Elephas maximus indicus: one gene and its partners. The protein of the gene in region 2 purifies or fractionates together with the protein of the main gene of each other region. This does not show direct contact. Links are inferred from orthologs where the notes say so. Each region holds a gene or a part of one and is shown on either strand. Other genes may lie near its edges. The genes, in order: EXOSC2, EXOSC10, EXOSC9 and EXOSC3.

Region 1 (8,332 bases), on a different chromosome or scaffold from region 2:
TAACGCCAAACATTCCTACATGAATAAATTCTCTGTTAACTATTCTTAAACAAACTACTTATTGCCAAGTGGTTTAATAAGCCTGAAATCCCTATTTTATTAGGTCAATGTAAAGGATAGAATGTTTTCCTGTGGGCTCTGCACCAGCCAGAAGAGGAAAAAGGAGATTCTGAGACAGGATGCCACCCAAAGAGGCACTGATGCCAGTTAAATGGGCCTACTCGCCACCTCTCCTACCCGATGGCTGCCCTTTCGCAGGCCTCTTTGCTCTGATTCTAATGATGATATGTTCCAATGCTCAAGGTCAGTCCCTGGGCCTCTTCACTTTTCAGTTCACACTCATCTCTTGGTAAGTTCATTCAATCTAATGGCTTTAAATACTACTGATGACTACCCCACACACTCCATTTTAATGACTAATAGGCATTTTCAAATTTAACAAGCCCAAAACTAAGCTTGCAAGCAACCTCCTCTTCTCCTCTCCCCATCTCAGTAAGTGGTGACTTCATCCCACCAGATGCTCAAGCCAAAAACCTTGGAGAGGCATCCTTGATTCCTTTCTGTTTCTCATGCTCCATGATCAGTCCAGCGGCAAATCCTGCTAGCTCTACCTTCAAAATATATGCAGAATCAAATCACTACTCCCATTTCCACTTCTACTACTTCATTCCAAGCTACCCATTACTTCAGATGAATTCATCTTCCTAAATCTGCCCCGATTCCCCTTCAACTTCCTCATAGCAGCCAGACCAAAAAAAAAAAAAAAAAAACTCAGTGCCGTCGAGTCGATTCCGACTCACAGCAACTCTATAGGACAGATTTTATTAAAATATAAGTCGATCATGTCCCTCCTCTGCTCTACCCCTCCAATGTCTTCCCAGGTTACGCAAAGTGGAAGCCAAAATGCTTACAATGGCCTACAAGGCAAGCCAGACTGTCCTCCCACCTCAGCTCTCTCTCTGCCTGTATATGCTCCTACCGTCCCCCTCACTCACTGTTCCTGGGGCTAACCTTTACTTAGCCCTTCTAGGTACTAGGCTCTGTGCTAAGTATTTTACATAAATTCATCGCTTCGCTAAATTCTAACAAAAATTCTAGAAGGCAGTTTGTGTTTTTATCCTCATTTTGCAGAGGAAGTAACCAAGGCTTGGAAAGGTTAAGTAATGGGGGAAAACCTTACATATAATCTCCATACAATCTTTCTTACAGTCATGTTCAAAATCACAGACTCACAAAATGATAGGGCAATTGGGAGGAGGGAGACAGAATAGACTTGGTCACACAATATGTTGTCTCAAGAAAGAGAATACACACCTTTTGTCCTCACCTGGTTTTCAAAGCTTTCACACAAATCAACTTGTTTACTCTCTCCACAGAGCCAGCCACAGATGCTATGAGCTTCTCTTCCCCCATATACGTTCCATGACCCCTGTTGCAAGATACAGATACAAAGGATACTAGGGTAACACTTGAGGTGACCTCTCCCCTCAAGAACAATGTGTTCCTCAAACCTAACACGCTCCTTCTGCCTTAAAGCCTGGCTTTTGTACTGGTTACTCTACGGGCCTGCAACACTGCCTCTCCAGAGAGCTACACGGACGTCTCCCTCATCTTCGAGTCTGTTCAAACATCACTTTCTCCATCTGACCTACCTCATTTAAAACAGTAATCCACTCTGCTGCCCATACCACCACATTCCCAACCCCATTCCAATGACCCTGCTCTGCTTTTTGTTTTATTATTGCACTTTCACCAAACATTCTGCACAATTTATTTATTTGTTGTGATTACTTAATTATTATCTGTCTGTCCCTGTTAGAATTTAAACTCCGCCAGGACAGAGATTTTCATTTTGTTCATTGTTGTACCCCAACCGCACATAATATAAATGTATCGAATGCCAAGAACGCAGGAATGAGTTTTAAGATTTCCGAGAATTCAATAACCTCAAACTGGGCAAAAAGGTGGCGTAGTGGTTAAGTGCTATGGCTGCTAACCAAGGGGTCAGCAGTTCAAATCTGCCAGGTGCTCCTTGGAAACTCTATGGGGCAGTTCTACTCTGTTCTGTAGGGTTGCTATGAGTCGTAATCGACTTGACGGCAGTGGGTTCGGTTTTTTGGTTTTGGGCAAAAAGGCAATGTTGTAAATGCTGTATTCCTCATATATGTACATGTGTCTCCCCCACCCCCTGCAAAAAAAGAAACAAACAAACCAACTAAAATGTTAATAGTGTTTAAGGTGGGATTATATAGGGTCGCTATGAGTCGGAATCTACTCAAGGGCAATGGGTTTGGTTTTTTTTTTTTTTTGGTTTGGTGGGCTCTGTTTCTCTTTTTCACATTATAATCTCATTTAATCCTCACTACCTTCCCAGATAGCTACTGTCATCACTATTTTACAAACGAGGAAATAATGTTTCAGGAGATAATGCCGCTAATAATAAATGATGGCAGCACGACTGGAACCAGGACCGTTTCACTCAAGAGCCTGCCCTGTTAACCATAACAAACTACATTGCCTTTAGGTCAAAGATTGTATATTCCGATGCATGTAGCACAATATATTTGTCTGCCTTAACCCAAACTACTGACTCCAAAACCCAGCCCCTGGTCCCAAGATGACACTGAGGGAGATGGAAGCCAAATCAGAAACGCCCACCGTTCTCCTGAAAACTGGAAAGAGGCCCTTGTTCCAGACTCTCCCCAGTTTTCCAGGTCTCCAACGAGGAAGGCTTAGAGATCTGGGCCAAAGGCAGAGGACCCGAGAGACCACGGCCACCAGAGGTCAGGAGAAAAGGGCTTCAGGGGGCTGAGACAAACGCGAACACACAAAACAGAGAGTGAGAAGCCCGAGTCCTCGGAAACCCGGGGACTGGGGTGCTCTGGAGATCTGCGCTGAATGAAGGAAGGGCTTAGACTCTGCAGGCCGGGGTTTCGGACTAGTAGGCCACGTGCTGAGCCCTGCACTCGCTCACTGGAGTCCCGAGTCCCCCAGGTCCCTACATACCGCATGAAGCCCGTGTCTGTAGTGATCGTGTCTCCCGGCACTACCAGGTGTTTTTTAGTCTCGCGACCCAGGCTCTCGCTGAGAGGTTTGCGAGCCACTGGAAGTCTCATCTCCATCGCCATCTTGGCGCCAATGACTTGCGCAGGCGCAACCGGGCCCGGAGCCACGATATCCGTCCCCGCGATTCCCCGCGGACGCTCGCAGGGGCGGGGCAGAGCAGGGCCTTTGAGAAGCCGCCAATAGGCGGTCACGGGCTGGCGGCCATGTTGACTAGTGGCAACCCTTAGGTTAACTTGAAGGGAAAGAGGAGCCGAATTGCCATGTTTACTATTGGCAAGGCTGCGCCAGTGAAATAGCAAAGTTTCACGTTGTGTGACGCCTGGATTTTTACCAAAACTGCCTCGTACACACTATCCCGTTTACTGTTTACCAGGATTAGAGATATTTGAGAAATGGACCTCTGAGTTTCCTGACAACTCTAAGCCGCTAAGAGTCTGGTTCTTTTTTTTGTATGAAAGAATCTAGAAAGATCCATAGGTAAGATCTACAGAAAATAGTATTGGACAATAAGGAGAGCCCCTTTCCACATCGTTCCTAGTGGCTTATTTTACATTACAGCCAGTATTTTACATTACAGCCCCCGTGTAGGTTGCTGGTTCGGCACCAACCATCAACTCCTCCCAACAATGTTCCGCATTGTTCACTGGTTTTCTACTTTCCTTGTAACGTTCTTTGAGTGAGCTGATTTACTTTAACATTTCTTTTGAAAAAACAAGAAACTGTCTTAAAAAAAACCAGTCAGACCTTGCAGGGCAGGTATGTTTGGCAAGGAGAGCAAGTGCCCACATAACACAAAGATTCTCACCTGTATTTATACTTCTTGTGAATTGGCGCTTTCTGTGTGCCAGGCATCTTTCTAAGGATGCAGCGAACATGTGTATGTGGCTTCACCTCCACGTCCTACTTAATGCGAGCATTTCCCTCACCCATTTTTCCTGCCCCCCACTATGCTCTCCCTGGCCCTTGTCCTTCATGGTTTATAGCACAACAAACTTGTGTTTCAGCCTCGGGAAATTGGAGATTATAATTCTTCATGCACAGGGACCATTAAAAAAAAAAAATTTTTTTTTTTTTAAGGATTAAATGGAAGAACTGCCTGCATTAGCCACATACTGCTTGCTCTACTCAGTAGATCAGGCCCGCTGCTTCCTGAAGTTTTATCAGATCAATTGTTTTATGAATTTCCAAAAAGAGGACACTTCTTTCACCTAAGCAAGGCTCATGACTACCAACCCTGTGAGGCAATCTCTGATATAAATGCTAGAGCTCTGCTGGTCATTGGACAAGTGGGCAGGTCAGACCCTCACCCTCCTCCCTACCTTGAGGAAGGCACTGGAGCAGAAGAAAGTACAAGGGCCCATCTGTTGAGTCAAGCCTTGGCCATAAGAGGGCAGTGGTGCCCTGCGAGCCGACAGAGCCCAGCCAGTTCAGAGCAAGATTCTGCGTGCCCCTAGACCAAGGGGTGGGGTATAGTCTTGACATCTTGTTTTACACTAGGAAGGATGAACAAAACCTTAACTCCTTTAATTCTCACAGCACTCCTAGTTTACAGAGGGAGCCCTGGTGTTGCAGTGGTTAAGCACAATGGGCTGCTAACAGAAAGGCAGTTTGAACCCAACAGCCACTCTATGGGGGGAGAGATCGGCAGTCTGCTTCTGTAAAGATTTACAGCCTTAGTAACCCTATGGAGGGAGTTTTACTCTGTCCTATAGGGTTGCTATGAATTGGATTTGACTCAAGGGTAACAGGTTTTTTGTTTGGTCATCACGTTGGTATTAAAAGTGATTGCTGCGGAGTCGACTTTAAAGCCAAGTGTGTCAGTGTAGAATGGATGCTTTCTTATAGATGCACAGGGACTATACAGAGGATTAAATTATCAAAAAGGATGAGAATTCACACAGCAGATGGTGCCAGAGCCAGTGTTCCAACTGTACCTGCCTTACTCCGGGGCCTGCACCGTTTGCTAAACGTTTCCCAAAGGCCCGGGCCTTTGCTGGGCACTTTAAAAACATTGTGTTATTGATTCCTCACAACAACTTGGCCCATCATGGAGGTAGGCATTGTTAGTTCTGACAGTCATTTGGGGCCGTTAAGTCCCAAAAACAAACTGGCAGCTGGCCTTCCCACCCCAGGCTCTGCTCACTCTACCACACTTGCCTCTTCACTACCTTGTGGATGAGTAGACTCAGGAAACATGGCTGCACGTCCCAGAGGACTTGTTGAAAATACAAGCTCCAAGCCCAGATTTAGGCATTGAGGCTTTACAAGCGTGAGGCCCGCAGGTCTATCAGTATGTGTTTAACTCCCCATGTGATTTTAATCGTTGGTCATTTTAATTCTCGGATTCCTCCATCTACATCTCAATCTGTGCATCTCTGTGGCCACTACTCCAGGCCAATCAGTGTCACCACTCACTCGAGTGGCTACAATAACCTCCTAGTTTGCCTCTCTAATTGTGTATTTGCCCCTTCTACCATTTAGTCTCTGTACAAGGGCTAGAGGGATATTTTTAAATCAGATCAGATTAAATTTCTCCCTGCTTAAACTTCTGGTGGCTTCCCCTTACACTGAGAATAAAATCCAAACTCATCATCCTGGCGTTGAGGCCCTGTGGGACCTGGCCCCTGCCTGTCTCTGACCTCATTTGCCTATATATCTGTGCATAAACTTTGATTTCCACCCACATAACGTTCCTGCCCTGAGGCAGCCTTCTCTACATAACATCCCTACCCTGGGGCAGCCTTCTCTAGCCAGGAGCCCAGGAGTGGGGGGCCTGTCTTACAAAACAGATGTCAGGTGGTCATGGGTGGGAGCTATCTAGTCACACTCCATAATTTTCCCCACCCAACCACAGACACATACTCCTAGTGGGCCAGTTCCAAAGCAGGAAAGAAGCTGAAAACTTAGGATATATGATCCTCCAGTTTGAGAGACCCAAGGGTCATAAGTATAGAAAACAGTTGGGGGAAAGGGGTTTAACAGCTGCCTCAGATGCCCTCTTGGGGGTGTCTACAACCCCTGGCACACACCAAAGCATTCTTTTATTAATAACAGCTCCCATATATTGAGCATTTACTATGTACTGGACACTGAGCCATGTACTTTATTCATTTATATGCATTATTCCATCTAATCTCACAACATCCTTAGGAGCTAAGTATCACTCCATTTTCCATGTGAGGGAACTGAGACATAGAGACGTTAATTGACTTGCCCGAATTCACACAGCTAGTGAGTGGCACAGCTGGGATTTGAACCCAGCCTCTAGAGTCCTTCTACTACTGAAAGTCCTGGTCGATGACATAAGGCAAGAGAAAGAAATAAATGGCATCCAATTAGAAAGGAAGAAATAAAACTCTCTTTATTCACAAGCAACATGATACTGTACGTAGAAAGTACGAAAGAATCTACAAAACGCCACAGGAACTAATAGGTGAGTTTTACAAGGTCACATGAAACAAGGTCAGTGTACAATGCTGGTCTACACTGCACCCCTATGGGAAATGCAGCAGGTCCTTTGGACTGAATCTGTGGACTGAATGGGAAGTGGTGTGCCCTAAAGCTCCTGAGAGTCAGATGCCTGTGGTGGAACCCTGCTCTGCCACTCTTCCACTGAGTGATGTGGGCAAATGACTTGCTCTCTCTATGCCTCAGTTTTCTCATACCTCAAATGGACATAAAAAGAGCATTGGCCTTGTGGGGTTGTTGGCAGGGTTCCCAGAATGCATGCATCTAAATCCCTAAGCCTGGGCTGGCCCACAGAAATTGCTGTGATTGTGTTCACATGCTTTTGTCCAGGGAGTGCACGCTTGGGAAAGGGGGTCAAGGTCTCTGCTGGAAATGCAACCAAGGTGAGAGATAAGGCTTTCGGCGTCAAGCCTCCCAGCACCATGAGCCCTGTTTGTTCATCCTTGTTTCCCCAGTGCCTAGCACAGGCCCTGACACGTGTCTGTAGAAGCAGGTCAGCTGGCAAGCCAGTGGCACCTCGGTCTGCAATTACAGCTCACTGCCACCAGGTGGGTTCTGGAGCCTGGGTTGTGGCCCTGGTGTTAGCTGGGACTTAACTACCTATGGAGAACAATTTAAATTTTTGATCAAGGACGCCACTGACTTCTCTGAAGTCTGACTCCTGCAGGTTCTTCAGAAAGCCAGCATTTTACCTTATTTGGGCATTACTGTCTGGGAGGCATGAAGTGTGAGCCATGATGGTGTTTAATTCCACTTCACCCGTCATCATCCAGAGGGAAGGGGCCTCGGGACATACAAACTTTGGCTGTGGGGACAAGATGCCTGGGTGGGGGAGGCAGTGTGTGGAGGGTGGTACCAGGGGCTACCAGAGGCTTCGAAAGCCTAGTGGAGAGGCGTCAAAGGAGAGGCACTAGGCGAATGCATAGAGACAGAAAGTGGAATCGAGGTTACCAGGGTCAGGGGCAAGGGGTAATGTGGAGTTATCGCCTAATAAGTATAGAGTTTCTGGTAAGGATGATAAAAAAGGTTTGTAAAACTCACTTATTGGAAATAGCGGTGATGGTTACACAACATTGTGAATGTAATTAACATTACTGAACTGTACACTCGAAAGTGGTTAAAATGATAAATTTTGTTATATACATTTTACCACAATAAAAAAAAAAACTACCAAATAAATAACTGTATGAATAAAACTGGCTGCCTGTTTAAAAAAAAAAAAAAGGAGAGGCGAAGTTTGTGACCGGGGGTGGGAGGAATATCAAGGATGGCTCTGTCACCAGCCAGAGGCAGGAAACCCCAGATGGAGCCTGCATGTGAACACATCAGTGTACTTCCCTGCCTGTGCCCCACCAGCCAGGGCATGAGATGACTCCCACAAAGGAGGGTGTATGTGGGAGTACCATGTGAAGCTCCAGATGGAGGTGACCTGTGTGTCCAAGTATGAATTTCCAAGTTTTTGCAGGGGTATGTATGTGTGCATGTGCACACATCTGCAGGAGGATGCAAGGAGAGATGTACCCACAGGAAGCCTCCAGGCATGCTCACCCAGCGGGTTACAGGGGTAATACCCTCATGACTGGTATATGTGCAAACACAGGTGTGAATTCACAATCCCCAGTGCACACACCACCTTGGGCCAGGAAACCTGGAGAGAAAAGTTGGGTCCTGGCCCTTTATGGACAGAGAAGCCCCTTGGCCCTAACTTGATGGTCTCTCTGCTCCTTGGTCTCCTTCAAGGAGGGTCAAGTGACAGGTGCCTGAGTATTAGGAGATTCTAGCATTTGGAGGGCCCTTG
Region 2 (8,140 bases):
AAAGTGGGAGGCCTTACTTTACCTGATTTTAGAACCTATTACACCGCCACAGTAGTCAAAACAGCCTGGCACTGGTACAACAACAGATATATGGACCAATGGAACAGAATTGAGAATCCAGACATAAATCCATCCACATATGAGCAGCTGATATTTGACAAAGGCCCCCAAACAGTTAAATGCGGAAAAGACAGTCTTTTTAACAAATGGTGCTGGCATAACTGGATATCCATCTGCAAAAAAATGAAACAAGACCCATACCTCACTCCATGCACAAAAACTAATTCAAAATGGATCAAAGACCTAAATATAAAATCTAAAACGATAAAGATCATGGAAGAAAAAATAGGGACAATGTTAGGAACCCTAATATATGGCATAAAAAAATAATCTAAAACGATAAAGATCATGGAAGAAAAAATAGGGACAATGTTAGGAACCCTAATATATGGCATAAACAGTATACAAAACATTATAAAAGACATAGAAGAAAAACTAGATAACTGGGAGCTCCTAAAAATCAAACACTTATACTCATCCAAAGACTTCATTAGAAGAGTAAAAAGACTACCTACAGACTGGGAAAAAGTTTTTAGCTATGACATTTCTGGTCAGCGCCTCATCTCTAAAATCCACATGATACTGCAAAAACTCAACTGCAAAAAGACAAGTAACCCAATTAAAAAATGGGCAAAAGATATGAATAGACACTTCACTAAAGAAGACATTCAGGTAGCTAACAGAAATATGAGGAAATGTTTACGATCATTAGCCATTAGAGAAATGCAGATCAAAACTACAATGAGATTTCATCTCACTCCAACAAGGCTGGCATTAATCCAAAAAACACAAAACAATAAATGTTGGAGAGGCTGCGGAGAGATTGGAACACTTCTACACTACTAGTGGGAATGTAAAATGGTACAACCACTTTGGAAATCGATTTGGCACTTCCTTAAAAAGCTAGAAGTAGAACTACCATATGATCCAGCAACCCCACTCCTTGGAATATATCCTAGAGAAATAAGAGCCTTTACACGAACAGATATATGCACACCCATGTTTATTGCAGCACTGTTTACAATAGCAAAAAGATGGAAAGAATCAAGGTGCCCATCAATGGATGAACGGATAAATAAATTATGGTATATTCACAGACTGGAATACTACACATCGATAAAGAACAGGGAGGAATCTGTGAGACATTTCATAACATGGAGGAACCTGGAAGGCATTATGCTGAGTGAAATTAGTCAGTTGCAAAAGAACAAATACTATATAAGACCACTATTACAAGGACTGAAGAAACAGTTTAAACTGAGAAGAAAACACTCTTTTGTGGTTACGAGAGGGGGAAGGGAGGGAGGGTGGGAGACAAGCATTCACTAATTAGATGGTAGATAAGAACTACTTTCGGTGAAGGGAAAGACAGCACGCAATGCGGGGGAGGTGGGCACAATTGGACTAAACCGAAAGCAAAGAAGTTTCCTGAATAAACTGAATGCTTCGAAGGCCAGTGCAGCAGGGGCAGCGGTCTAGGGACCATGGTTTCAGGGGACATCTAAGTCAAAAGGCATAATAAAATCTATTAAGAAAACATTCTGCATCCCACTTTGAAAACTGGCGTCTGGGGTCTTAATACTAGCAAGCAGCCAGCTAAGATGCATCAACTGGTCTCAACCCACCTGGATCAAAAGAGAATGAAGAACACCAAGGACACAAGGTAATTATGAGCCCAAGAGACAGGAAGGGCCACATGAACCAGAGACTACATCATCCTGAGTCCAGGAGAACTAGATGGTGCCCGGCTACAACCGATGACTGCCCTGACAGGGAAAACAACAGAGAACCCCTGAGGGAGCAGGAGAGCAGTGGGATGCAGACCCCAAATTCTCATAAGACCAGACTTAATGGTCTGACTGAGACTGGAAGGACCCCGGTGGTCATGGCCCCCAGACCTTCTGTTGGCCCAGGACAGGAACCATTCCAGAAGCCAACTCTTCAGACATGGATTGGACTGGACAATGGGTTGGAGAGGGATGCTGGTGAGGACTGAGCTTCTTGGATCAGGTGGACACTTCAGACTATGTTGGCATCCCCTGTCTGGAGGGGAGATGGGAGGGTGGAGGGGGTTAGAAGCTGGCGAAATGGATATGAAAAGAGAGAGTGGAGGGAGAGAGCGGGCTGTCTCTTTAGGGGGAGAGTAATTGGGAGTGTGTAGCAAGGTGTATATCGGTATTTGTGTGAGAGACTGACTTGATTTGTAAACTTTCACTTAAAGCACAATAAAAATTATTAAAAAATTAGAGTTTAAGTGAGGAATTTTGGGGGAATTCTTATTAACTTACATATTATTTTAGTTTTATGGCTGTGTAAGAGCAATGCATAATTTGTTTAAACCTAGTTTCATGTGTGTTCATATTTAAGCTGCATTATACAAATAACTTGAAGACTAAGGTATGCCTGACCCAAAAAAAGCCATGGTAATTTTCAGTCACATTTTATGCATGTCAAAGCTGGACAATGAATAAGGAAGACAGAAGAATTGACGCCTTTGAATTGTGGTGTTAGCGGAAAATATTGAATATACCACGGGCTGCCGAAAAAACAAACAAATCTGTCTTGGAAGAAGTACAACTAGAATGCTCCTTAGAAGTAAGGATGGTGGACTACGTCTTACATACTTTGGACACGTTGTCAGGAGAGATCAGTCCCTACAGAAGGACATCATGCTTGGTAAAGCAGAGGGTCAGTGAAAAAGAGGAAGACCCTCAAGGAGATGGATTGACACAGTGGCTGCAACAATGGGCTCAAGCCTAAGGACGACTGTGGAATGGCGCAGGACAGGTCAACAACAACGTACAAATAATTTAAATGAACCCTCTCCGTGTTGCTTCGAGGAACTTCCAGTCTAGTTGGAGGCATTAACAGATGTGGTACATCACTTGGAGGAGACTCACAGTAGCTGTATCAGAATACATTTAACGAAAGGCTTGGAAACGCTGTGGAGCTCGACCTCAGGAGAGGGAAGCCCATCCCGACTGCGGGAGGCCAGTACGCTGGGCCTGTGTGGGATGCGTAGCAGCCGGACGCTCCGGAGAGTTCGCCGGCGGGGGTAGGGGTTAGGCACGGGCGTGGGGTCTGGGTGGTCGCCGTGCCTAGGAACGGCAGACTGACAGGAAGTCCTGCCCAGGACGCGAAGAGGTCTCTCCACAGGCGGAGCAGGATGGGTCCGAACGGGAGAACGAGGGCTCTGTTTCCGCGTCCAGGACCTCATCGCGGAGGGTGATGCACAGGGGACTGTGCCCAGCGGCGGCAGCGGCCCCTCGACCCCCGCCCTGGGCTCCCCTGTGCCACGCGCGTCCGTATCTGCGGCAGAGTCCGGGCCTGCTTCCTGCCGGCCGCAGGCGACTCCCGGCGCCTCCAAGGCCCCGCGAACTCACCTTGACGAAGCTGTCTGCGTCCGGGAAGCCGGGTAGCACCATCTCCCGGTCGGTTTTGGCCGCACTCGTAGCCAACGGGGCCTTGGGCTCTCTAGGACTGGGAGGCGCCATTTTTGCGGCTGGCACGGCGCTTCTTTTCTCGCGAGAGTGTCTGAGGCCGACGCGACGGGTGCGCACGACGCAAGTGCGACAGCCGTTTTTCGAGGTGGGGTGAGGGGGCGAAGGGGCGAGCCAGGAGTTTGTGTTCCGGTGTCAGCTCTTAGCGCTCCACCTAGGGAACTTTAAATTTTCCTTTAGCTTCGTATAACGTCTTCATAACAACCCTGTGATTAGAATGGGAACTGGAGGACACAAGGATCCTCACATTTAAAGCCAATTTTTTCCCAAGCTCTAGGGAGCTGTGGTGACGGAGTGGTTAAAGCGCTTGGTTTGAGCCCATCTGCCGCTCTGCCGGAGAAAGACGTGGGAGTCCGTTTCCATAAATATTTACAGCCTTGTAAACCCTACGGGGCAGTTCTACTCGGATCTATAGGGACGATATGAGTCGGAATGCACTTGACGGTAGTCGGTTTGGTTTTTGGTGTTTACCAGTCTCTGGAACCGTGCCCCCTCGCCCACTTAAGATCTTGGCCCCTGCAATTATCCCTGCTCTCTGTGGCATCTTTTCCTTCGCTACCGATTTATTCCTAGCGACCTACACTTATGCTGAAATGTCTCCCAATTAAAAGGAAAACAAAAAAACTCGACCCCACATGTCCTTCCGGTCACCACCATATTTCTCTTGCCCTTTGTAGGAAAACTGGAAGGAGACGTCTATACGCTCCGGCTGGACTTCCTCATTCGCTAATGCTCTCCCTGAACCCGTCCAGTCAGACACTGTTCACCATCTACACCACTAGAACTATTCTTGTTAAGGCACATAGTGGGGGCTCAATAAGCATTTGTTAAATGAGTAAGTGGTAGAACCCTTGTAGAGTGAGGCACTCAGGACACGGTCTCCAGGAGACTCATAGGGCTGTACTGTTCCTACTAAGAGCATGGGTGGCACACCCTTAGTACAATTCATTTGGCTTAGTAAGTGCTCAATGTGTAAGCTGTTATTGTTATTCAGAATATCCTATACGTAGGATACTTGCTTTTCATTTTTTCCCATTTGGGTACTTCGGGTACAAAGGTACCCTGACAGAACAAAGGCCTAGTTCATTGTAATGATATTTTTGTGCACTTATTTTGTATGGTTTAACTTAATACCAGATGTCAGGCTCTGCTAAGTGCTTTACATGGATTGTCTTATCCTCACAACCTTGTAAGGTAGAACATACTATTATTCACCTTTTCAGATAAGGAAACAAGCATAGAGAGATTAAGTAACTTGTTCTCACACAGCTAGTATGAGGTGGAGTTGAGATTTGAAAGTAGGTAATTTGGGTTGCACTCAACTACTAAGTGAAAGGTTGCCGGTTCGAATCCACCAATGGTGCCGTGGAAGAAAGGCCTGTCGATCTGCTTCTGTAAAGATTACAGCCAAGAAAACCTTATGGAGCAGTCCTACTCTGTAACACACAGGTCACCATGAGTCGGAATTGACCTGACAGTGATTTTTAAAATTTGACACGAGAGCCTCAACTCTAATTTATACCGCCTCTCCAAAAAAATATTTTTTTTTTCTCCATTTTAAGCCCCAGCCTATGGGATCCTAGGGATGGAAGGGTCCTGAAAGTCATTCTTGGCCATATCCCTTCCTCCCTTTACTCAGGGTTCCAAGAAACCATTCAGGATTGATGGGTTAATTAGGCTGTCTTTAAGGCCTCCATCATCTCAACAAAGTCAGAAGGCTTTGCTTAGGCATAAAACCCACTGGATTCACCAAAGATCTTAATCCCAGTGACTCTCATGCTTTAAGGAGTTTGTCTCTGCCACTAATAACCATTTTCCTGAGTCCATTCATTCCCATATCCTTTGTATTTCATAAAAGGTAACATCATTGTAGTCACTTCATCTAGCACCAATGAGGTTAGACATAAATCAGGTGTGGTCTGAGCATGGTAACCACATTTTTTTGACAGCAAAATAGGTGACGTATGGTTTAGGATTGTTATAGAAAATCTAAAATAGAGATGAGACTTCCTGTGTTAAAAATTCTATCTGTACCATGATTGAAATCTAAATTTAACAGAAGAGTCCTCTGTTGTTGTTTGGTGCCGTCCTGTCAGTTCCGACTCATAGTGACCCTATGTACACAAGAACGAAACACTGCCTGGTCCTGCACCATCCTCATAATCGTTGCTATGCTTGAGCCCACTGTTGCAGCTGCTGTGTCAGTCCATCTTGTCGAGGGTCTTTCACTCCTTCACTGATCTTCTAATTGACCAAGCATGATGTCCTCCAGGGACTGGTCCCTCCTGATAACATGTCCAAGGTATGTGAGATGAAGTCTCACCATCCTTGTTTCGAAGGAGCATTCTGGCTGTACTTCTTCCAAGACAGATTTGTTCGTTCTTCTGGCAATCCATGGTATAATTCAATATTTTTTGCCCATACCACAATTCAAAGGTATCAATTTTTTTTTTGATCTCCCTTATTCATTGTCCAGCTTTCCCATGCATATGAGGTGATTGAAAATATCATGGCTTGAGTCAGGCACACCTTGGTCCTCAAAGTGACATCTTTGCTTTTTAACACCTTAAAGAGGTCTTTTGCAGATTTGCCCAATGCAATACATCATTTGATTTCTTGACTGCTGCTTCCATGGGTGTTGATTGTGGATCCAAGTAAAACGAAATCCTTGACAACTTCAGTTTTTTCTCTGTTTATCATATTGCCTATTGATCCAGTTGTGAGGATTTTTGTTTTCTTTATGTTAAGGTGTAATCCATACTGAAGGCTGTAGTCTTTGATTTTCATCAGTAAGTGCCTCAAGTCCTCTTTGCTTTCAGCAAGGTTGTGTCATCTGCATATCACAGGTTATTAATGAGTCTCCTCCAATCCTGATGCCAAGTTCTTCTAACAAACCTTTATGGAGTACCACTGTGGGCGAGATCTTGGCAGATTCTAGGGATACAAAGATGTGGTCTTGTGACCCTCATGCTCCCGCTAACACAGTGGTCAAATACCTGCAATTCATCTGATTCAAATAAATACTTGCCATTCCTGTAAGGTATTGTGCTTTCATGCCTCGGTGCCTTACATTTTCTTTCCTGCTGAGAATGTCCTCACTTGTTCCATCCGACAAATTCCTTTTCATCCTTAAAGACCCATCACAAATATCCTCTTTCCCATGAGGCTTTCCCGGCTAACCTGCTGGAATGGCTCACATTCTGTACATGGCTCTTAGCACTTAGCTGTGGTGGAGTGATCAGTTCACTACTCTGTTATGCTGTCCTAACCTCTGGCCTGGAAACATGCTGAAGAAAGAGACCATGTCATGTACATCCTGTGTCTTTCTTGGTCCCTAGTACCAAGTGCTTAATGAAAGTTGAATGCTGAAGGAATAAATGCCTCCTTTTTGAATTGACTAATAATTATGAATAAAAAGTCACCCATATACATGTTTTTAAAATTCTCATGTCATTTATTGGCACAAAAATTATTCAGGTACAACATGGTGTCTAGACATGGCTACACTTTATACTTTGTGCATTTAGTTTAATATTTATTTTGCTCATAATTCCCAACATGTACTAGACCTTCCCTCTATGTTCAGCACCTGCGTGACAGCATTTGTTCCCCAAGCCCTTGCTCTAAACGTGGAGCATTCAGACCTCACTGAAAGTCGCCCAGGACCATGCTGGGGTGGGCCACCTCACTACACTGTGATCTCTGCTGTGCGTCTGCTCAGCCAAGGCTGCCCAGCAATTGGAATAAGCTCCCCTCCTAGCAAGTCAGGTCTTGGGTTCAGGTCTTGGGTTGACATGTGTAAGTCGCAGCATCACTGGGTCAGGCAGAAGACAGACCTCTCCCCCCATTTTGGCCCATCCTGAAAACACTGCTGCTGCTGTCCACGGACGCGTGAGGTAATGGGATGAAGAAGGTAATGATCTCTGCTTCTCCTAGCTCCTTACAGTCCAGAATCCTAATGTGTCTCCTCCACGACCTGAGGCTTCTTGACTGCGCGGAGTTTGCGGTATCTGTGCTGAGAGGAACGAGTAGGTCATTCTTCTATCAGCAAACACTTATGAGTTCTCTTGTGAGTTCGGTCAAAACCCGTATTTCTAAAGTTATGGATCTTCTGTTCCCCCAAGTCAATGGCTTGATTTATGTGATGTCACCATGTTTCACTGTCCTGGGAACCAAATCAAGCCTTGTGTTTCTGAGAATATATTCTTCAACAGCAGCTAGAAAGTTGGCACAAACCAACTTGTAATGTACAGTAGTTCTTTTCATTTACATTTCTAAATATTTAACAAAGTCAAACTTTCTGACCATGGTTTCAGTTTAGTGGAAGCATATACCAAAGTACAAAAGCCTCAAGGGAAATGCTGTGGGCATGTCTGGGCCTCCAGTTACCAGAAAGGACACCTAAGAAGACAGACAGAAAAGGAATATTTTAATAATCTGAGCTTCTTCAAAGCTTTACACACACACATTGAAAACGGAAAGACAAAGGTCTGAGAACCCCTGGGCTGCTCCCTGAGATCTCCCACCACTAATTGTGTGGGACACACTCATTATTCCAATCAAGGGCTGATGCCTGTCAG
Region 3 (7,543 bases), on a different chromosome or scaffold from region 2:
CAGAGTTCACATGTCAAGACTGATGGAAAAACTATGCTTGGGCCTACCTGGGCGAACGGTCAATGTGGTCGGCAGATACAGTTCCATGGTTAGCAAGGACAGGTCACACCCACAACTGCTGTTACCATCAACACCAGAATCACGTAAGGTCCAAAAAAAGAAAAACCCGTTGCCTCTGAATCGATTCCCACTCACAGCAACGCCACGTGGTGTCAGGGAAAGGCACTTCTACAAGAAAAAGAGGGGTGCTGGTCAGACAAAGCAACAGGTGTCCACTGAAGAGAAGATGTATATTTGAAGAATTTGTTGAAAATCAGGTTATATTTAGACAGCTCATCCAGGTTAATATGTTGCTTCAGACTGATTTTTTTCATAACAGCAGAATTTGCAATGTTATCTGAACCTCTTTCCAAACTTCAAAAACTTTTTTCCCCCTAAAAGCCGAAAACAAAGGTTCCCTTGGCATTTCAAGAGCTTCTTACTAAGAATAAGGTCCTGAAGCAAACACATTGTACTATGGTATGCAGAGGTAAGTGGAAATGGGATCATATACCTAGGAGTTAACTTCAATAAAAGACAAGTGCTGCAGTGTTAAAATTACAATAATATAATAGTGAAAGTAAGAAATATTGGTAGAAAGTCTACAAAAATCGAAGGAAAAACAAAGGCAATGTAGTCAAGACAGCAATTTGAAATGCCAAATTTGGGAAGACTCACAGGATGGCTTTGCCAAGCCAAAAAAGGAAGGAACCTAATGTTTGAATAGCTACCGTGTCTAAAGCATTGTGCTAGAAGCTTTTACTCATACCACTTAACACACGGTAATTATAATTTTCAAACTAAAGATACAGAAACTGAAGCTCAGAAAGATTAACTCACCAAAGTCCATTTGTAGTCTATCTGAAGTCAAAGTCCACTCTCTTTCTACTACCAAGATGCCTTCCAGAGAAGGATAAACAACTTCAATAAAGGAAGGTCACTTCTAGGAGCCATGGTGGCAGAAACAGTTAAGTGCTCAGCTGCTAACCAAAACGTAGGCAGTTTGAACCCCGCTAGTGACTTCAGGGGAGAAAAGACCTGGCAATCTGCTCCTGTAAAGACTAAAAACAAAACAAAACCCCGTGCCATCAAGTCGATTTCAACTCATAGCGACCCTACAGGACAGAGTAGAACTGCCCCATAGAGTTCCCAAGGAGCACCTGGCAGATCCAAACTGCCGACCCTTTGGTTAGCAGCCGTAGCACTTAACCACTACGCCACCAGGGTTTCCCTGTAAAGATTACAGCCTAGGAAACCCTATTGGGCAGTTCTACTCTGTCATGTGGAAACCCTGGTGGTGTAGTGGTTAAGAGCTACGGCTGCTAACCATAACGCTAGCAGTTTGAATCCACCAGGCGCTTCTTGGAACTTCTATGGGCCAGTTCCACTGTGTCCTTTAAGGGTCCCTGTGAGTTGAAATCGGCTTGACAGCAATGGGTTTGGCTTGGATTTGGTTTACTCTGTCATATAGGGTCACTATGAGTCAGAATCAACTCCACAGCACACAACAACAACAACACATCATTTCTGAAGGAAAAGGGAAATTACTAAATGCTTGCTGAAAGAACCCAAGGATTTAAATGATGAACATAACAGCCAGGAGTTCTGATATAAAATTCTGTACTAGAACTTACATTGTTAAAGATCTTAAATGGCCTGTACCCTGTAATCCCCTTGCCTGTTTTGAAAATTAATAAACTGAGCATGTGGGCATAATTCCTGCCCACTTCCCTCCTTCTTCACAACTCCTCTCTTCACAGTTCCTGTCTCCATGTTGAGCTCATTCCTATCTCAGTTTTTGCACACTTGCTCCATCTGCTTGAAACACTTTTCCTTTCCCCAGATGAAATCATGGCAACCTCCTTCTCACTACTATTAATTAAACTGTCACCTCTACAATGTGAACTTTTCCTGCAACTCCCCATTCCCAAGTAGCACTTACCAGTGTGTGAAATTGTTTGTCTCCTCTGAAGAGAACAAAAATTCCTTGAAGGCAAGAATGTTGTCCACCCCGTTTCTCCTGTGCCTGAATTATTCTTGGGACATAGTAGACCCTCTATAAACAGTTACTGGGTACATGGATTGCAAGAGTTACAAGTTGAGACTACAATGTATCACTGGTAGAAAAAACATGTGAGTAGGAATAAAATAATCATAATCAAGCCTGTGTAGAAATTATAGTACCTGCCACCTCAAAAGCAAAAGGAAGCAAAATAACAAGCAAATATTTAAATAGTGCTTACTCCACACTGGAAACCCTGGTGGTGTAGTGGTTAAGTGCTACGGCTACTAACCAAAGCGTCGGCTGTTCGAATCCGCCATGTGCTCCTTGGAAACTCTACAGGGCAGTTCTACTCTGTCCTATAGGGTCACTGTGAGTCAGAATCGACTGGATAGCACTGGGTTTGGTTTGGTTTTGGTTTACTCCACACCAGGCCTTGTTCTAAGCCATTTACATACGTTTTTGTTGCCTGTGGTCAAGTCCATTCCGACTCATAAACTTGTTGGCATGGAGTACATTCAGATTCATATCTACCTTATAGGACGAAGTAGAACTGCCCCATAGGGTTTCCAAGGCTGTAATCTTAATGAAGCAGATGACGAACCTTTCAGTTAGCAGCAGAACGCTTAACCACTGTGCCACCAGGGCTTTTATTGCACCACCACGCCTCCTTATTTAACATATATTAACTTTTTTTTTCCCACCGCCCATTTCTCAGTTTGTTGTAGTGTTGTGGCTTGCATGTTGCTGTGATGGTGTAAGCTACGCCATGGGTGTTTCAAATACCAGCAGTATTTTGAAACTGGTGGACATGTTTCATGTTTCAAATGAGCTTCCAGACAGAGACAGACTAGAAGAAAGCCCTCTTGATCTACTTCTAAAAATCAGCCAATGAAAACCTTAAGGATCACAAGAGAACACTGTTAAACTCACTTGCTTTGGACATGTCATCAGGAGAGAACAATCACTGGAAGAGGAAACGCTGTTTGGTGAATGTGGAGGGCCAACAAGGGCAGAGGCCCTGGGTGAAACGGATTGACATAAGAGCTGCAATGGACTCAAACAAGCCTCCCCATGGTGAGAATGATGCAGAACCACAAAACTTTTTATTCTGTTGTACATAGGGTCCCCATGGGTTGGTTTGGAGTCAACTCCATGACAGCTTTCGACCTACCTATCCATTTTCCCTAACTTGTTTTTATCCTTCACAATGAATTGGTTTATTACTCCTAATTTTCAGACAAGGAAGGTGAGGCACATAAGTAACTTGCTCAATGCCACAGAACTAGTCAATGGCAGAGCCAGAATTTTAACTCAGGCAGTTCGGAGTTCCTGCTTTTAACTACTACTTAATATTCTCACTCCAAAAAAGTTGAGTGGTTTCACTAAGCCCCCCAAAATAAGTCTATCGGCTTAAAATAAGTTGAGACAATAAGAAATAAACAGTAAATTCAATTTCAGTCGATGGTAACTATAACACCATTAGTTACAATGCAGGAACGTTCTCAAGTCCTGTGAACTCAGTTCCTATGAGGTTTCACTTTCAGTCTTCTATTATACCCAGCTCACCTTCTCAACTTTCTTCTCCCCATTCGAGGCCCATTTCCCCTCTTCCAGGGTTTTTTTTTTTTTTTTTAATCTGGCTGCAAGCTTTGCCTCAGTGGCTTTGGAGTAGACAATCTCAGCTTCCTCATCCGTAAAATTTCACTAATAACTGTTCAGCCTATCCCGCTAGAATTGAGGAAAGGGCGAATTGTGAGAGCGCTGTACTAATATTAGTTAATAGCATTCGGCTGCTTATTGTTTGTGCCCTTCTTTCCTGCCCAGAAATATACAGTAAAAGAGGTGGGAAGATTTTCCTCTGCAGATTCAGAAGCACATCTCTTCTGAAGCCCCTCCGCTTCTCCGAAGCCACTTCGCCCTCCCCAAATTCGCTCTGAGCCTGCGCACTAGCGACGTCTAGCTCGTTTTCCCACCGCCAGCCGCGCTCCTTGATGACGCAAATTTCCGGCGCGGCAGGGTGACCAGGGTGCGTGTGAAGGAGAGCGGGTTTCTCTTTCTCCACGGATACCGGTGCCAGGGTGGCCAGCAAGCCGCTACACCATGAAAGAGACGCCGCTGTCAAACTGCGAGCGCCGCTTTCTGCTCCGCGCCATCGAAGAGAAGAAGGTAAGAGGCCCCACAGACCTGCGCGCTGAGTGGCGCTCCGGTCGCATGGCCGACCTCAGCCTTCCTGTCTAGTCGCGCAGACCTGACCAGCGCTGGGCCGGGATCCCCCGAGGGGTATGGCCGGTGCGTCCCCCTTCCACTCGTTTTTCTGCCCGAACCCGTTCTTTGTAAGGCTCGTGTCACCCGAGTTACTGTCAGTGCCCAGGTGCCTAGTTGTCACTCTCCTGTGGGGATGGAAGAGTTTGTTTTGGTTTGGTTTACGGGGGTGGAGTAGTAAGGATCCCACCACTTTCATCCAGTTGCTTAGACCAGGCTCTGGAATATAGTGGTTGCTCAGTAAATCTTTGCTGAAGGAGTAAATGAACGAATGTTGTGTTTACAGCGGCTGGATGGCAGACAAACCTATGATTATAGGAACATCAAGATATCATTTGGAACAGACTATGGCTGCTGTATTGTGGAACTTGGGAAAACAAGGTAACAATTCAAGTTAGATGTGAGTTCGATAGCGGACAGTGTGTAAAGAACCTTGACTGTTTACAGAGCAGCGGGGAAGTCTGGACAGTACGTTGTTAGCTGCCCAAAATAAGTATATTTTATTTAAGGCAAGATTTTTAGGTATTACAGTTACTTTATTTTTTAATCATAAATGTATTTTCTGTCATACGAGTGTCATATCATTCTTTTTGAGCTCTGTAAATTATATAGACAACCAGCAGTGATTACACTGAATTTGTTTTGGGCACTGCAGTAGCCACCCTTCTTTCACCTTCTAATGTGAGTAATGTAGAGATCCTGAGCATCTTGTCCTTAAGTAGGTCCCATTTTCCTTCTTCTTACATGGCCTGAGAGTTAGATTGGTATGTTCATTTGGAAGTTGTGAGTATATTTGGTCAGGTAATGTTAGCGAACTATGCCGTGTGAAAATTTTTAAGAAATCTCAAATTTTCATGCTGTCTTGATTCAAACTGGAAAGGAGAAATAAAGGTAATTGATTTTTTTAAAAACAGTTTTAAGAATCTATGGAATAGTACCTATTGTAATAAGAGGTTTTTTTTGTTGTTATCCCTTTGGCTGTACCAATATATGTTTTAGTTTTGCATGTATTTTACTACTAGATACGTGGTTTTTACCTTTTATGATACATCAAGCCAAGCATGTTATTACTGAGATAAGATTGAAATTTAATTGGTACCTGTTTTAGATTTCTTTTTTTATTTGGAAAGGAAATATGTTTATTTAATGCATTTGTGTCCTTTATCTTTGCAGAGTTCTTGGACAGGTTTCCTGTGAACTTGTTTCTCCAAAACTCAATAGGGCAACAGAAGGTATTCTTTTTTTTAACCTTGAACTATCTCAGATGGCTGCTCCAGCATTTGAACCTGGCAGGTATTTAAATCTTTTTCTTAAGCTGGTTTAGCTAGAGGGAAACCTAACAGCAGTGAACTATTGTTTTAATGCCTGATATTATATTTCGTGACATTAGTCTATTCCTGTTTTCCTAGGCAGTCAGATCTCTTGGTGAAGTTGAACCGACTCTTGGAAAGATGTCTGAGAAATTCAAAGTGTATAGACACTGAATCTCTCTGTGTTGTTGCTGGTGAAAAGGTGGGGAATATGCCTGAAATTATTAACCTTTGAATGGATATTGTTAATTAATGGGATCCTGTATCTATACCCTCATTTTCAGAGCTTTAGTTAATTCAGTTTGTACTGGTTCACTTTAGTGCAAATGCTTCCATGTGTTCTCCAGAGAGCCTTTTATTATCTCTCTCTGAAGGGACAAAATCATCGTCCTTAAAAGGGAAATGTTTCATTCGAAGAACTTGTGGCTTTTTCGTATCTTTTTTCATTTATTTTCTTATGTTATTTAAGTGTGTTAATAGAAGTACATACTGTTTTCCGATTTTACAGATGGAGAAGTGAAGAATGAATAAAATTCTTCATTTGGGTACATTTATTGATTTACAGAAACCATACAGTGAGTCAGTGGTAGGGCAGAGACTAGAAATCCTGGTCTTAATAAATTGTGCTGTATGGTGATATTAGAACTTTATTCTTTTTTTTTAGTTGGTATTTCTTTCCTGAATTTTCTTTTCTTTTATTACATTGTTGACATGTTTTGTTTAATTGTACTTTAGATGAAGGTTTACAGAACAAACTAGCTTCTCATTAAACAGTACACATATTGTTTTATGATACTGTTTAACAACCTCATGACATGTCACCACTCTCCCTTCTTGCCCTTGAGTTTCCTATTACCAGCTTTCCTGTCCCCTCCTGCCTTCTAGTCCTTGTTCCTGGGCTGGTGTGCCGCTTTAGTCTTGTATAGTTTTATGAGCCTGTCTAATCTTTGGATGAGGGGTGAACCTCAGGAGTGACTTCATTACTGAGTTAAAAGAGTGTCCAGGGGGCATGCTTTCAGGCTTTCTCCAGTCTCTGTCAGGCCAGTAAGTCTGGTCATTTTTTTTGTGAGTTAGAATTTTGTTCTGCATTTTTCTCCATCTCTGTCTGAGACCCTCTGTTGCGATCCCTGTCAGAGCAGTCAGTGGCGGTGGCTGGTCACCATCTAGTTGTACTGGACCCAGTCTGGTGAAGGCTATGGCAGTTGTGGTCCATTAGTCCTTTGGACTTATCTTTTCTAGTATCTTTAGGTTTCTTCATCTCCCTTTCTCCCAAAGGGTGAGACCAGTGGAATATCTTAGATGACCACTCGTAAGACCCGAGACGCTGCTCACCAAAGTAGAATATAGAACATTTTCTTTATAAACTGTGTTGTCAGTTGAGCTAGATGCTCCTCGAGACCATGGTCCCCACAACCCTTAGCGCAGCAATTCGATTGTCCAGGGAGTTTGGGTGTGTCTGTGGAGCTTCCAGGACCTTGCTTGCACAAGTTGTTTTGGCTTCCCCAGTATTGTGTACTGTCTTACCCTTCACTAGAGTTACCACTTACCTATTGTCTGTTTAGTGTTTTTCTATCTCCACCGCTCGCCTCCCTCGTAACCATCAAAGATTGTTTCTTTTTGTGTGTAAAACTTTTCATGAATTTTTATAGTAATGATTTCATATGATATTTGTCCTTTTGTGATTGACTTATTTCACTCAGCATAGTGTCCCCCAGATTCATCTGAGTTGTGAGATGCTTCACAGATTCATCATTGTTCTATATGTTGCATTGTACTCCATTCTGTGTATACCATAGAACTTTATTCTTGACTAGTGTATTTTGTCCAGCTTTTTGACTCCAGAGAAGTCACTTAGCCTTTCTGTTTCTGCATTCAATACATTATTTCTAGCTATTTGCATTATTTTTGTAAGGTTATCGTACCAAAC
Region 4 (7,735 bases), on a different chromosome or scaffold from region 2:
CCAGGCCCCACACCCACACCAGAAACTATACAGCTAAGTACATCTGAATATGAAACATTCACGTTAGTGTATTCAAATTAAGAGGGGATGGGACTAAATTCATGACTTACAAACTGCTAAAAAGGATACTGATTTTTAGCTTTGAGGAGAAATTTAGACTTTGCTAAGTAGAATCCAAATCCTAAAGATTGGCCAGCTTTCCAGTAAGACATAATTGTAAAAGGAGACAGGCAAGCCAGCAGGCATCAGAACTTACTTTCTAATTAAGCCCAAAGTCACTTTAAAAAGCAGACCGTCCTGTCCAATCACGCCCATTCCATTGGCTCGTCCACAGCTGTCAATACAGACCATCTCTGGTTCCATATCTTTATTAGCAACCAGAAACTGGCCATAGATGAGATCTCCAACCTACAATAATCAAAAAAACAGCTCATTTCATCTCAGAAACCATCCTACAGGTCCTGCCATTGGTTCTTTCCCACACACAGGCAGCAATGGCAGCTACCTACAGTTCTGTGGCTAATGGACTGACTATACTTGAGGATCCAGTCACTTTGGAATTGAGTCTTAAAAGAAGACAGTATTAACACATGTACCTTCACCCTTTAAAACACCAGGAAATCCCCAAACGGGAGCAATGCCAAGGCCAGACAACATACTCTGGGATTCCACTGTTCCTTATGTTAGCCGCTAGCTACATGTGCCTATTTAGACTTACATTTAAATTTAATAAATTTAGTTAATTAAAATATAATTCAGTTCCTCAGTTGCATTAGCCACATTTCAGTCCTTGATAACTACATGTGGCCAGTGGCTGTCAGTGAAGGTACAGAACATTAGCATCATCACAGAAAGTTCTATTAGGATTCCAGAAGGTTTATGGCTAGAGGAAGGAATTCCTGGCATGCTCAAGCAAAATAGCTGGAGCAACGATAAGCCACTGATATTTCTCCATGTAAGGTTTACTTAAAAATCTCATGCAGTGGAACTTCAAAATGATAATACTGAGGAAAGACAGTGAACTTGTTCTGTTTGCTCAACAAAACACTGACTCTGAGAACTACAGATGAACAAAACATTTGCTACCCTTCAGAAACATTTGGTCTTTGGGGGCAGTTAGGATGTACATATGAACAAAAACTTCATTCAAACCGGAATCCAGTAAGTGCTAGAACAAAGTTAAAGTGATTCAAGATTGGAGATGGCTTTACAGAGGTATCTGGTGTTTGGCTGGGTTTTGAAGAATGAGCATGTCCCACAGATAAAGCCTGAGCGGAGGTACAAGGGACAGAGGGCACAGCATCAGCAAAGGTACAAGGGCAGGAAATTATGGGTTTAGTGGTGCTATCAAATACTCTGGTGTGGCTCAAGCATGGCTGTATGCAAGATATAATTATGGATGAGGCAAGACCCCTGGGGTGTCATGCCAAGGAATTCTTTAGGCTTTGAAGAACATTCATGTTTTGAGAAAGGGAGTATGTAAGGATGTCAGCTCTGAAAAGCCTAGATGGAAGGATGAGAGTGTGGAGGCAGGGATGTTAATGAGGTCACTGACCAAGGCCAGTTAAGGGTAGCAAGGCCTGAACTCGCAAAGTTGAGATAAAGGGGGTAGACATGAAGATCAGAGAAACAATAAAGCAACTGAGAACATGCGAGGAGTTAGAAGGGGCAAAGAAACCACTCAACTTCTGGTTTGGATGGACAGAGGGCAGTATGGCTACACCGTGAGATGCCTGTCCCAGGGCCTACAACCAGGATGGATGGATGGCTGATACGGCAATTTGTGCCACTTGTCCATTCTCCCTCTCTGAGCCTATTGCTGACTACCTTGGTCAATGCCCGTGATACTGGAGATAACAGATAAAACCTTTCAATGCAGTAGAGATGTAACATTCCAAGAACAAATGTTGCAAACATAAAACACATATGTAGTCTAGTTCAAGAGCTGAAGCACCTGAAGGAACTCTTGGAAGCCTGAGAGATCATCCTATAAAACTAGGAAAAGTGGTCACGCTTTGGCAACAGTTCAGTAGCCTTCTGGATATTTTTGTATTCTAGATAATGGGTTTATTTTTTTTATACTTTTGAAACCAAAGGCCCCCATCATTACCTGCACGTTTGGTCTGTTTCTTTTAGTTGCACCTTCAAATGCCAAGTAAGATAAAGAAGCTGGCTCACTCCCTCCAACGTCAACTTTGAATATATCTCCAGATTTAGCTGTCACTATGCCAATCACATGGTCTCCTTTCACTGGGACATACTACAAAAGAAAACATGAAAGAACAGCCACAAATTAAATTTTTTCCAGCAAGTCCTTAGTGTTTACTTTGTTATGATTATCATTAAAATGTTTAGAAAATATTTTGCAATTCAAGTTATTTATAGAAACTTTACAACAAACTTTATCACATACCACTTTCAGTAAATGAAAACCAGTCACATCATATTCTCTCAAGCTTGCAGCTTCTAAAAGTCTGTTAATTGGTGCCAGTATGCCATACCTGAATACCATCTTCAGCACCCTTACCAGAAAGTCTCCGGCTTCTGCTTGCACTTACATCCAGTGGCACAGGGTTCCTTACTACCAAAGAAGCCCAATCCATTGTTCGACAATTCTGCCTACGAGAAAGTTCTCACTTATTCTGAGAGAAATTTAACTCCTGATGATATCCACTCATCAAGCCTGATTCTGTCCTCTGGGGCCTCAAAGAACAAGTGTGTCGCTCCCTGACCTTTGGGGTTTTGAAGACAATGGCCATATGTCACAGTCCTTATCTCCCTTATATGCTAAGGTTTCCACACGCCTTTCTCCCCTGATCGCCCTTCTTTGGCCACGTTCCTGTTGCTCACGGTCCCTCAAAGGAGATGGGAAGGTGGGCACAATCTCAAAATGACAGACGGTGTTTCAGGGTCCCCTCCTTTTTCTCTTCCAGGAAGTTCCCCAGGATAGGGATACCACTCTCGCTGGATAGGGATATCACTCCGGAGCCCCAGCTCACCCGCTTCTGCTGTGAGTCCACCCAGTAAACGCCGCCGCCGCCGCCGCCGGGCTCCTTGTGACGTAGGCGGCCGCACTTGGTGACCAGCAGACGGTCCCCAGAGCGCCGCAAGCCCGGGCCGCACACTACGCGCACCCGCGAACGCGCCCCGGGGTTGAGGCGCAGCAGTCGTTCCCCAGCACCGCCAGGGCCTTCTGCGTCCTCCTGCTCCGGCAGCAGCAGCTCCTCACCCGGGAGCACCACCTGACCTAACACTGTGCGCGCCGCCCGGGCCTTACTGCCCGCGAGGGATTCGGACGCAATAGCCGCAGCTTCACCCATACCAGGCGCCACCAAACACCAATTCCGGCACCGTGCTTCCACTTCCGGCTCTGCGCCCAATCGCCAGCCCGCTCAGCACTTTCCGTTTCCGGCGCTACGGGTCAGTGGGAGTGGTTCCTACGTCTGTGAAGCCAAATCGCCGTGAGCCGGCGGATACCCCCAAGGTGGTTGTGGTTCCTCCTGGTCAGTTGTCTATCTTCCGGGTGTTATGAGAAACGCTCAGCTTGAGTAGACCGCGGAGCCTGGACTTCCGGGTGTCTCGGGCCGCGTGTCTTGTGGCCGGTCGCACCGTGAGATACAAGATACTCCCTTGTATGGAATCCTGGGAGTTGAACAGAGGGGCTTCCAGAGTTGGGGGTCGGGTGGACTCATAGTCCCTTCGCCTCGAGCCTGCCCTCAGAACGGTGGCTGACCTTTTACCAGGAGAGGTATTTTCTTTCCAAACTAAAACCTTTTTGGTTGTTGCCAAGAAGGCGTTTATTCGCATTGTGGAAAACACAGAATTAATAAACATAACTTCTTGGTTTTACCCGTTTGTCTCAAGCTAGACCGTCAGCCCTAGTTCTGACTCTTTGTAGCCCAGGGTCTGGCGTGAAATAGGTAACACGTGTTGGATGAATGAATGTTAACATTTTGGTGTGTATTCTCGCTAGACTTATTTTTCTGCAAATATACACATCACATGCACAGTTTCACATAATTGAGCTACACCTACATGACGTGGGAAAATCAGTTAACTACAGTTGAATCCCTGCTGCTACTTACCCTGGGGCAGTTCACATCCGCCAGGTGCTCCTTGGATACTTTGTGGGGCAGTTCTACTCTGTCTTACAGGGTCGCTATGAGTCGGAATCGACTCGATGGCAGTAGGTAGGTTTTACTTACCCTGAACCAACACTTTGGTTGCCCATGTAAGAAGCAGCTGAATTGCAAATTCATAGTACTTCAAGGCTTCCTGCCCTTATGACTCAGGGGTATTATTTGAAATCACTGTTTTCTCTGTCAACTGGCACCTCCAATTAGTGGTTGGTCAGATTCTCCAGCAGTTGTGAGAGCTGCTGGGAATTGGGAGGGCGTCGCTCTGACCGATGAATTTTAGGGGCCCCTTTGGAGCCCTGGTGGCGCAGTGGTTAAGAGCTCGGCTGCTAATCAAAAGATGGGCAGTATGAATCCACCTGCAGCCCCTTAGAAACCCTATGGGGCAGTTCTACTCTGTCCTATAGGATAGCTATGAGTCACAATAAACTCGAGGGCAACTGGTTTGTTTTTTCTGGGTTTCTGTTTCTTCGCATCTTTTGAGGCACCCACTTCCAAAGTGAATTTTTTAGAATTCTAAGGTGTTTTTAAGACAGACAATCTCTAACACACGACCCAAATTTGGTGGGATGCTGGCGTGCCATTTTCCTCAGATGTCATGAGAGGCCAACTTTTGCTTTGCAGTCAGATTTTTGTAAGAACTGTTTTTGGTCAGTTTTCCTGGCATTAGTAGGAGCTCTCGGGAGAAAAAGGGTATAAATTCTGCTTCTCTCCTCCCTACGTAAACCCAGCTACAGAGGGCCTAGAACCAGTAGGTATTCGGTCTCAATCCTGTCCAGTCTAAGGGCATTCCAGAAGGATTCTCAGTGACTCTAGGCTGAGGCCGGGTACAGAGGGAGGCCGGGAAACGTTCCCTGCACTGTTCCTCACGCACCCTACATTGGTTGTGGGTTGTTTGGAAGAAAATCAGCCCAAACCTGCCAGGGGAGCTCTTTCAAGTCCACTTCCCTGTGAGCGCAACACTTCGAGATCCGTCTGGGTCATTCCCAAGTACATAGATGAAGCAACAGAGGCCCTGAAGAGTGAGGTCACTTAGAGGCTGGAAGCCGGGGCAGACGGGGCGGGTCATCAGCGCCTCCCTGGAGACGCCCACCCCGACACACCCAGAAGGGGCGGTGTCGAGGGGGCGTGGTGCACGTGAGAAGGCAGCCTGCCTACTACGCAGCGAGCCACGATGTCGGTGCTTCGCCGCCTTGGCGTCCTGCGCCAGCCGGTGAGTGAGAGCGCGTGGGCAGAGCCCCCAGGATTCGGGTATCCACTCGCGTGGAGGTGGGAGACTGAGGCTACGAGCGAGTGTGTAGAACCTGGCTCGAGCTCACGGCCCCTGAATTCTGGGGAGCGTGAGACCTTTCTTGGGGTCCCTGGTGTTGCAGTTACAAAGATCTCATAATAACGCTTAGTGTCTCTTCTGGTTGTAAAAGTGGCCACGGCGATTGGCAGAATATGGAAGAAGCAGGTGGCCCCGGGCAGTCGGTGTGCGCTTTCTGGCCTCGAGACCACGTTCCACCCACAGGCCGTGTACGTGTGACTTTTACAGGCCTGATCGATCCAGGTGGATTAGGCCTCTTTGTTTGGGTGCTACTGGTTTGGTGCCAGTGTAGTAGAGGTGGCATCAAGTCGAGTGCCTTCTGGCATACCTCTTTCTTCCCTTTTCTGACTGTTTCCCTGGGGGAACTGCCAATTGCCTTGTCGAAAGGTTGATCGTGGCTTTCCGGATATTTTCCCAGAACCGCGTCTTTAGAAACTTTGGACTTTGGAAGAGTAGCTTTTCATGGTTGCTTTTCTTTTTCGACTGGTAATGTTGGGTTTTTTTCCCCCTTTTTCAATCAAAAACACTTGTTGAACATCTGCTGTGGGCCAGGAATTGAGCTGAGGAGTCAGTTGAATCCTGATTTCTGCCCTGGGCAAGTTCACTGTCTACACATGACAGTACTGATGAGTTATGGTGGCTCCAGTAAAAACCTGATTGGGGTGTCACAGGATGAAATAGTTACCTCTATCTGGGTAGTCCTGATGGCGCAGTGGTTAAGAGCTCGGCTGCTAACCAAAAAGTTGGCAGTTCGAATCCACCAGCTGCTCTTTGGAAACCCTATGGGGGAGTTCTGCCCTGTCCTTTAGGGTCCCTATGAGTCGGAATCAACTTGACAACAATTTTTTTTTTTTCTTTTTTTAAGTCTCAGGGGAAGGCAGGGGACAGGGTAGGTATTCCAGTGGAGGGGATTCCTAAGTGAAACCTGAAAGTTTTTTAGTTTACTGGTTTCTAAAAATTACAAATGAAACCTACGTTGATTTATATACAGAAATTGTTAGTAAAAGAGTCAGTGGAAGTAATCATTAGTATTACTCAAATACAGATATAATCTAAAAGCATAAGTGCTTACAATTACCGCTACACAAATGTACAGATGTTTTTAATCACAAAGAATCATAACTTCTTAAACCTAGGACTTATGGGAGAAAGTAAAACATAAGGAAACTTTTTTTTCCCCTTACCAAATAGTTTTGTATGTGTTAGCAATTCCATAAAATTTTGTATGGTCCCCACACTCCCATCTGAACTAAATTACATTACAAGCTAGGTTCTTTCTTATTTGGCTGGCATTTAAGCTTGGTCCTGGTGTATCACAACATAAAACCAATTGCAAATACTCAAAACTACAATAAGGAAATGAGCCCTGGTGGTGCAGTGGTTAAAGTGCTTGGCTGCTAATTGAAAGGTCAGCAGTTGGAACCTACATGCCGGCTCCAGAGGAAAAAGATGTGGCTGTCTGCTTCCGTAAAGATTTACAGCCTTGGAAACCCTATGAAGCAGCTCTACTCTGTCCCATGAGTCGGAATCGACTCAACAGCAGTGGGTTTGTTTTTTTTGTTTTGTTTTCTAGTTCATATTTACTCTTTGTAATAGGTGTCATGTCACCATTTGGTAGTCATTTCATACCCTGTTTAACCAATTAAAATAATTTAAAACTTTTTAACAAACATTTAAAAAATACAACAGTAAGGAAGTGGATAAAGTCCCCCTTCAAACTCCATTCTCTCTACTTCCTTAGGGATAATCACAGTTATCAATAGATTACATATCCATGTACATAGTTATTTAACTTCTCTGTACCTTAGTTTCCTCATTGATAGAATGACGATAACAGTACCTACCTTTGCGAGGAGGGAGAAAGGGCAGGGATAGAGTATTCCTGCAGGACAGAATAGCATGAGGTCTTGTATATGACTTGCTAAGTCATTTTGATTTTATCCTGTAGGCAGTGAGGAGCAACACATTTGCAAGAAAAACTCAGTCCCCAAACTACAGTGGAGAATGTTTTGTCAGAGTCAGAGCCCAAGAAATGGGCCTCCCTGCTCTTTCTTTTCCACTCTTTTCCAAACCCTTGATCACTGTTCAGGCCCTTGTCACAACCTTCTGACTCATCACCCTCTTTACTCTTCAAACGTTCATCCTTCCTCCCTAAGGCTACTACCCATCTTTTTAAAATCCAGCTCACTTTCTTTCCTGCAAAACTCTCATGGCTTGCCTCATCACCTGCAGAAGAAAGTCATGTTCTACTGGAACTTGTCAGGAAAAGAACCCCGACCTCACAGAGGAT

The links.
Region 1: the proteins of EXOSC10 (region 2) and EXOSC2 fractionate together in Homo sapiens (co-fractionation; 9 studies listed by BioGRID and IntAct, with this or other methods). This does not show direct contact. The link is inferred for Elephas maximus indicus from reciprocal best matches to the Homo sapiens genes EXOSC10 and EXOSC2.
Region 3: the proteins of EXOSC10 (region 2) and EXOSC9 purify together in Homo sapiens (co-immunoprecipitation; 7 studies listed by BioGRID and IntAct, with this or other methods). This does not show direct contact. The link is inferred for Elephas maximus indicus from reciprocal best matches to the Homo sapiens genes EXOSC10 and EXOSC9.
Region 4: the proteins of EXOSC10 (region 2) and EXOSC3 purify together in Homo sapiens (affinity purification with mass spectrometry; 8 studies listed by BioGRID and IntAct, counting the BioPlex papers as one, with this or other methods). This does not show direct contact. The link is inferred for Elephas maximus indicus from reciprocal best matches to the Homo sapiens genes EXOSC10 and EXOSC3.

Annotation. Positions count from the first base shown.
Region 1 is NC_064827.1:81,633,561-81,641,892, reverse strand, and holds the start of EXOSC2 (exosome complex component RRP4), read right to left. Parts: upstream 3,165-8,332; 5' UTR 3,129-3,164; coding exon 3,007-3,128; intron 1,430-3,006; coding exon 1,328-1,429; intron 1-1,327. UniProt on the Homo sapiens protein: Non-catalytic component of the RNA exosome complex which has 3'->5' exoribonuclease activity and participates in a multitude of cellular RNA processing and degradation events.
Region 2 is NC_064821.1:50,946,312-50,954,451, forward strand, and holds the start of EXOSC10 (exosome component 10), read right to left. Parts: upstream 3,592-8,140; 5' UTR 3,555-3,591; coding exon 3,444-3,554; intron 1-3,443. Other genes in the region: serine/threonine-protein kinase mTOR, read right to left, coding at 7,946-7,961. UniProt on the Homo sapiens protein: Catalytic component of the RNA exosome complex which has 3'->5' exoribonuclease activity and participates in a multitude of cellular RNA processing and degradation events.
Region 3 is NC_064823.1:25,405,275-25,412,817, reverse strand, and holds the start of EXOSC9 (exosome complex component RRP45), read left to right. Parts: upstream 1-4,055; 5' UTR 4,056-4,144; coding exon 4,145-4,210; intron 4,211-4,592; coding exon 4,593-4,687; intron 4,688-5,479; coding exon 5,480-5,599; intron 5,600-5,715; coding exon 5,716-5,818; intron 5,819-7,543. UniProt on the Homo sapiens protein: Non-catalytic component of the RNA exosome complex which has 3'->5' exoribonuclease activity and participates in a multitude of cellular RNA processing and degradation events.
Region 4 is NC_064827.1:46,653,778-46,661,512, forward strand, and holds the start of EXOSC3 (exosome complex component RRP40), read right to left. Parts: upstream 3,385-7,735; 5' UTR 3,321-3,384; coding exon 3,000-3,320; intron 2,261-2,999; coding exon 2,111-2,260; intron 409-2,110; coding exon 257-408; intron 1-256. Other genes in the region: uncharacterized protein LOC126082813, read left to right, coding at 5,311-5,349. UniProt on the Homo sapiens protein: Non-catalytic component of the RNA exosome complex which has 3'->5' exoribonuclease activity and participates in a multitude of cellular RNA processing and degradation events.